Solanum lycopersicum: one gene and its partner. The protein of the gene in region 2 interacts with the protein of the main gene of each other region in a pairwise test. Links are inferred from orthologs where the notes say so. Each region holds a gene or a part of one and is shown on either strand. Other genes may lie near its edges. The genes, in order: tousled-like protein and TSL-kinase interacting protein 1.

What was found.
Region 1: the proteins of TSL-kinase interacting protein 1 (region 2) and tousled-like protein interact in binary tests that used the Arabidopsis thaliana proteins (3 or more experiments, as listed by UniProt). The link is inferred for Solanum lycopersicum from reciprocal best matches to the Arabidopsis thaliana genes TKI1 and TSL.

The regions. Positions count from the first base shown.
Region 1 is NC_090810.1:60,536,650-60,540,480, forward strand, and holds part of tousled-like protein, read right to left. Parts: intron 2,729-3,831; coding exon 2,684-2,728; intron 1,891-2,683; coding exon 1,778-1,890; intron 322-1,777; coding exon 255-321; intron 1-254. UniProt on the Arabidopsis thaliana protein: Required for correct initiation of floral organ primordia and for proper development of organ primordia. Phosphorylates in vitro ASF1B/SGA1, the C-terminal part of TKI1 and histone H3.
Region 2 is NC_090808.1:2,070,108-2,074,456, forward strand, and holds the start of TSL-kinase interacting protein 1, read right to left. Parts: upstream 2,943-4,349; 5' UTR 2,753-2,942; intron 1-2,752.

The DNA of each region.
Region 1 (3,831 bases), on a different chromosome or scaffold from region 2:
TCCAGGCAATAGAAACTATTATTAAAATTCTTGATTCAACTCTCAGATTCTCAATATACTAATTTTTTCTAGTTCAAATCTCTCCTTTGTTGTGGGCATGGTTGTTAGGACATAAGCTGAAGTTCTATTGTACTTTAAAAGCTAAATGGACAGGCAGTGACTGTTAGTTGTCAGCATGGATATATTAATATATCCATAAAATGAAACTGCAAAACAAGCAGTCCCTTGCCAGACCACCAAAATACGGAACATACAAGTTGAGCATTCAGGTCCTTTAGTGCTTGCCCATCTTCCCAGGCCTCAGATATAATGGTTCCAGCTCTGCAATTAACCAAAGAACAGAAAAAGATCAGCAGTCACAAAAATAAATAGGTTCAAATCATGATATTTGATAACACGAAAAATAAATTGATACTTAGAGGATGGGCATACGGCCTATTAATAATCTAGAGTTCTATTAGTATACTTGTTACATAGTTATCACCAACAAAATCCCAGCAATTAATCAATTACTCTCCTATTAAGACTCATGTCCACGGTAAGCTTAAGGCTTGTCATGTTCTGCCTAATCACCTCTCCCCAATATTTATTTAGCCTACCCTACCTCTCCTGAGACCCTCCAACGTCGACCTCTCACACATCCTCACTGGGGCGTCTATGCATCTCCTCTTGACATATGGAGGCCACTTCCACCTTAACCTGAATATCTTCATTTCTGGCTATATCTCTGCTAGTAAGCCCCTACACATCTATCTTAGCATACTCATTTCCGCAACTTCCATCTTTTGGACATGAGAGTTCTTGACTAACCAACACTCCACCCCGCACAACGAAGCTGGTCTAACTACTGCTCTGTAGAACTTACCTTAGTGTCACCTTTCTATCACATAAGACACCAGAATTCTTTTGATAAGTAATCATCCTTTTTTGTTTCTATGTACATTGGCATCTATTATGCCATTTTCTTGCAAGACTGAACTGAGGTATCTAAAATTTTTGCATTTAGACATCACAATTCCATCAAATTTCACTTCACCATTATTCCTCAAATCTTGTACATCCATTTTAACATTCACATTTTACACTTTCATCTATGTTGGACCTTAGGGACCAACATTAACCCCATTTTGGATATCACTCGTGTATTAAACTTCTATTTAAGCCATGTTACTTTGATTCCCTTGTTTTATCTCCTCAAAAAAGTATTCATCCAACTGTGTTTCTATCTAGTACACTTGAATCTATTATGCCATTTTACTGCAAGACTGATCTGAGGCATCTAAATCTTTTGCATTTAGACATCACAATCCCAGCAAATGCACTTCACCATTATTCCTCTTCATGGAAGCTACATTCAGTGCAATATCTTGTGTTACTTCTACTTATCCTGAAACCTCACTATCTAGAGTGCTTATCCAGAGTCCAGAAGATAGATTGACTCTCTTGTTGTGTCAATTACAATATGCTATATGAAATAATATGCACCATGGAATCCGTCACCATACTATTATTACAAGAACAATAATAAAGCCTCACTTCCAAGTTAATTGGGGCTGACAATATGTTCAGTATTTAGATTATCCATAACAAAGGTAAATAAATCCCGACTTAAGAGAGATCCTCAGAGGAAACTGCGAACACACAATTATGGGAACTCGTTGCACCTTTTCTTACTTTTCACACTCCTGATGCCTTCTCATCTGTTAAACTTACTTAATATACTAGACCAAGCAGCAAAATGCTCACTATAAATAACACCTTGATAAGAATGCTGTACCTGATTACTCCCACATTGCCCAGTCTCAATGATTCCTGGCGCACTTTCATCCGAGCCTCTTGTCTCTCAGCTTTTGAAACAGATATTAGCAACTCGGACATTATTTTCGTTCTCTGCAGACATGAAAAGAATGAACCATTTCCATGAGGGAATACCAATAAACAGGTATAATATCAACCTTTTTATATCAACTTGGTATTTTTACCTGCTTGCTGACACGAGATTATTGCAGACACAATGTGACACAGCTAAGAATAAATTGTAAGTTAACTAAAGCAGAATTTGACAGCAATATTTTGGCAGGATAGCCAAATAGTGATGTTCACACAACTTGCATGAGATAGTAAATATGTCCACAAATGGACCAACAAAAAGAAATATTTTAGAAACAACAAAGCTAAGTTTGAAAACAATATTTTGCCAGGAAAATGAAATAGCTACGGTTGTGCCCGAAATGTGTGTGTGTACATGCATACCATATATATGCAAAGTGCTTTGGTACTACAGCCTATTCGATACTCCATAATTCTACATAATGTAGAAAACTCTGGTTTTTAGTTTGAATAATGCCTGTTCTGCTGAAGTGGTCAAGCTGAATACACCAACTTTGTAGGTTTACTCCATCAGGTAAATCATATTAACAGATACATTCCTCCATAGCATATTCAGACATATGATGATAACTCGAAAGATATATGACTTAAGCAAATATAGTACCAATCAGAGCTGACAAAAAAATTTGATTTGGCGACAAGCACACCAATGTAGCTAGTTAGTGCCACAAATATTTGGTCATGCGGTTCGCAAAGGTAACCTCCCAATCTATATACAAACACTACCGATTATTTCTAGGGCAGAAACAGAACTTGACCAATGAAAAGAAGTAAAATAACCAATGAAGCACACCTTTGGCTTTGTCTGCTGCTCGTAATCTTTAAGATCCTTCAGCTCCTGTATAATTTAAGTATGCAATGCTGAAAGGTCAGTTGCAATTGAAAATTCTATTCAAAGACAAATCAACTAACAGGTCATTTGGTTCACAGACAAGTTATATACAGATTATAATTTAGGGATTGTAATTCAATAGATAATAATTTCTGAATTATTTGCATTTGTAATCAGATTTTTGCTTAGTAGTTTAAAATTTTGAACATAAATCTAGAATGTTTGTTTGGTTTTATTTTATCTTATTTTGATCAAGTAAATAAGGTTTCATTGAATGAAAGACTGAAATTGGCCATATACAAGAGGTATACCAAAAAGTAGAGAACCTACAAAAAGATATGGTTCTGTAAAAAAGACACCTGAGCTTCTATACAAGCAGGTAGTACATGGGTGCACTAAAAGAACACAAGGGACGGTGAATACTCCTCAACTGAGCAGAACTCATCTCTACTCCCTCAATGACTCATGTTTCTCTCCTTCCAAATAACCCACATCAAAGCTAGTGGAGCTACATTACACACCTTGTGTCTTCTCGACATTCTTCCTCTCTTCCAGTTGAACATCAGCTCCTTTACAGATCTTGGCATTGCCCATAAAATACTAAACCATCTGAAAATATTCCATCATAACACCGTGGCTAGGCTACAATATAGGAGAAAATGATCCACGTCTTCACCCCTCTCCTTGCATAAGTAACACCAACTAATAAAAACAACTTTTCGCTTCCTAAGGTTTTCCAATGTCAAAATCACTCCTCTAGTTGATTGATTTTAAATAAAATAAGCATTTGTGTCTAATAATATCCTCGATTTATACATTTGTTCTATCCGAATTCATATTCAGTTTATCATCATATGTTCTATAATTACCATATAGGATTAGAAATCAAAATAAAATTCAGACTAGTAAGCTTTTCTGTAACTCAAATAAAGAACAATTTTAAGAGTTTAAAATGAGGCATACTATGAGATAAATTGCTATTCTTTCCTGTCCAAAGTAAGTGATTTTCTAGCCTTTCTAACTTGGTCCAAAATAGGTGATTTAAAAAAACGTATATATTTTCTCCAACTTTACTCTTGTCTAGTAAATGATCTGAAAAAATTTCTAAA
Region 2 (4,349 bases):
ATTGATGGTGCGAAAAACTTGTATCTACAGACAATCCCCATATTTCAACATATATAATTCTTTTAATTTGCTCCCAAAACATTTAAAATATCTTTCCAATGCTCCACCCTACAAGTAGAGAAACAATTTTAGTGCACCAGTGATCTTCTATGACTACTTTGCATTTGCAACCTTTTCCCACAAAACGATCTTCTTAGTGGTTAAACCTCTATAGCCATTTCTATAGAAGACTTCTATTTTGAATCTTCATATGCATGATCCTTTCTTACAAATGCCTCATTTTTCAACTATCTTACCACTTCATCCCTTTTATCAAATGGTATTGATGTTTCCAGCTATTGACTTCTCCAACTTCCTTCTGATTTTGTCTAACTGCTTTCTGACCCTAGAGCACTAGCCAAATTATCTTTCCTCGAGACCTAAGAAGTTTTGGATCACTTCATATCTGAGGCTTATATGTCATTTGTTTTTTTCTAAGTAAGAATTGTTGATTAGAAGCACCTAAGAAGATTCTGCTATTTACATAGCAAGATTTGCAAAGGGACCGCATTCCCCTACATTTCATGAAAAGATTGCAGGAACCAATAGAGTAAAAGGCTCATTTAAGCATGCTCAAGTTCTGAAGCTAGATGAATTTAGGTTATACGCTACACTTCACTTAGCCAGCACCTAAGTGTAGGTATCAAGGCGCTAAGGGCTAAAGCATATGCATCATCACATGTGTCTCTATTCTAGGAGGGTGACAATGTGGAAAGAAAGGAAAACAAGATGTTCGAAGAGAAGTAGATGTTATATAGAAGATCAGATAGAAATGATCATGACTTCTAGTGTAACCTTTTTAAACGATATTTAGTTGTCATTCCATAAGTCCTATTCGCTCCTAGATTATTCGAGGAATGAATCTCAACAGGGTCTCATCTGCCCATCTTTGAATATGTAAGAAAGATATGCTGGCTTATGGCTTTTAAAGGGATCTCTACTTCCTTCTCAATACCCTCTAACGCTTGAAAAAGACTGTGAGACACCTCATTACCGATAAAATATAGAAGGAAAGAATGGTTATCTTAATACATGATTTTGGGGCAGGTGGCTTTTCTAAAGAAACTGTTTAGTGGCCGCTCTCTTCCCCATCATTTTGGGGAGTCTCTATTCGGGTTCTTGATTGTTCCGTTGTTCTCTCATTAATTGGTTATGGTTATTATTCCTCTCCGTTTGTATCTCTTTTACCAATTTCGTTCACAAGATTAAATGGAAATTCTCCTCCAAAGCCTCGATTCAATTGTTCAGAAAACAACAAACACAATTAGAAAATAAACTAATTGTTGAGGGAACATTATTTATGAATTTCCTACATTTTAGGACAAAATATTTAGCGATCAATACTAGTAATAGTAATTGAATTAGAAACTGGACTGCAATTCTGTGTCAAAATCAAAATTTTAAATTGGTTTTTGAACTTAATTTCAAGATCTTTACTTCACTAATTTCACTTAAATATAATTTAATTACATCTTTTAAGAAGCTTTAGGTACTTGATTTTTATGTTACTTTTAATGACGGCGATGTCTGATTAAGCATGTGTGCACCTCAAAATTCTACCAGCTACTTGTTTCCTCCCACCAGCACAAGAACCGACCATCTATGCAGTTGGGCCAATTGTCAGACATTGACATCTATGGAGGGATGAGTTGTTTGTCTCCTTATACTCACCTCATAAGCTAGCTTTTAAGGTTGATCACCGAACACGTGTTGGATGACACTGTGATCAATAAGGCTTTGAGCTTATCATAACTAATTCCTCTGTTAGGAACTTGTCATCTCAAGGATGCGATGACACTTTTCTGGCTATAAGTCATTAAGCATAAAATGGAAAATTCAAAACTAAATTGTTTCTAAAAATAAAAAAGTACCATTATATGGAACAAACTTAAAAAAAAAAAAAAAAAGTCACGCGCAATGGAACAAAGGGAGTAATTGCGTTCAGCCTTCCACGTTAGAAGATTGTAAAGTTACTATTCTTTAAGCGTCTTAATTCATTGCTCAAATAGACAAGTTTTCAATCCCACTAGACGTCATAACGGGATGTGTAGTGAGAGAATCCAAGGCAAAAGGTTTTTGGAGTTATTACTATAGTCCACACCTAATTCATGAGATTCAAAGGGGAATATCAAATAGCTATTACTTTCTCGTGCTCGGTTTTAAGAAAAACTAAAGCTCCACGACATTCTCATCCATATGTCATGCTTATAGTTCTCTAATTACACACTTCCCTAATACATTTTCGTCCAAAAACTAAAAGATTGGCAACATATTCAGTTTAACTTAATATTTTTTATGCTTACAATAGCTAGATTTATTGGTTCTTCCATTACATTGTTCTTTGTAGTCTTGGTTATATGATTATATCCATCAAAAATCAAGCAAATTTTATCATTAACACATCAGCTCATCAAACGGACAATAAATCAACACAAAAAAAAGATCTGAAGTACTAAAACTAACCAGATATGGTGCTTCAATTACTAAAATTGAATATAGAAAATGTCTAAAATCACCAATTTCGAATTTCTATGGACCACATACAAGCTTCCTGAGGAAGAATGCACTATATAATTCTATATCCATAGTAATCAGCAACATATAATCAAACTAAACCTCTTCAATCCAAATATTGAACAAATAAAACAAGAAAAATTAGAGAAAAATCGCGGAATTCAGGTCGGTTTCCGAGTACGGTAAGTTAGATAGTTACCGTGAATCAACCGGAGAAGAACACCATCGGAAATCCAAGCGGCAAGTCGGCACCGGCAGGAAGCAGCAGGTGGAAAGAGGAAAGTAGATTGGAATTACGAATGGATTCAATTGGTCAGAGAGGAAATTGAAAAGGAAAGGAAAAAGAGAGGAACAAAAAAAGTACAATATGAGGAAAATTACACATGAAAATCTCCCCTTCAATTGTGATTACGGTATTTTTATTAGGTCCGACTAATTCTAAATTCATGTCGAAGAATAAATACATTTATAAAATATTTTATAATTTATTGTATCATATTATATTATATTATTTTGATGATTATAATGTTACGAATAGATTGAATCTACTCCATTGTTTCATCGTGATATTTTTAATGATTATAATGTTTGAATAGATTGTATCGTATTCGATCATTTCATAATATTGCTCATATATAATTTAAGCAAAATTTGCTATGAGATAAAGTTACTATAAAAAATAAATAAAGGATAAAAATGAAATTATTAAATAATAACTGTTTTCTCAATCTAATTTTATGTGGAACCTATTTGACTTGGCATGGTGTATAAAATAAAGAAAACTTTTTAAAACTTGTAATTTAAAACAATCTATAAATATTTGTGTCACTGTGTGGTTGAAAAATATTTTATTAAAGGTAAAAGAATATTTTAAAGTTAAATTGTTTCTAATTAGAAAAGTAATATTTTTTTTTGGGATAGATTCAAAAGAAAAGGGTATCACATAAAATGAATCAGAGGTAATACTCGGATAACAACGTGATCATGGTGAAGATTGGGAATATCTCAATTCTCAACTATGAATAAGAAGTCGAAGAAGCCTTAGATCCGCCTCTTACTTGCCTACCTTTCCCTAGTCTGGACGAAGCGTTAGTAAGAATAGGAATTGTTAGATTTCCTGTATTGGAGAAAGAAGCTGAGTCAGGATAAAGGAATAGTTTCTACGCTTTTCTAAGATAATACAGATAAATAGTGAAGTTATCGCGCCTAAGGCGAAAGACTCTGTCCAATCATTCACAAATTAAACATTTTCGACGTATTATAACATATGATATGATAAATTTTAAATCAAAATCATACCAAATATTATATTTAAACGAACAATACAATAAAACAAATATCAATCTTTTGATATTGGAGATGTGATAGAAAAAATTGTTGAGTAGGTTGGAATATATTCTTGCAATATATATGGGATAATATGTCATATCCTTGTAATTTAATATGAATAAGTAATCTCATAATTAATTAATATCTCTAAATAACATGATAAAATAATTATGCATTTTATTTTGAGATTGTTATAACTTATCTCTCATATCTAATGATCCATGATAGTGTCTTATTTAGGGACTTTATATTTATTAGAAATGTAACGACCATTAAATTATTATCCTAATATTTTTATATAGAAATATTAGATTATATATCATTTTAAAATGGAAGATCAATAGACTTTTGGTGTATTAACACAACATTATTTTGATTATTACTTTAAGTTATGCATTTGCACGTGTATTTTATTTTAATGAATATTTGATTTTACTATTTTATTATGTTTGATATATTATTTTGAT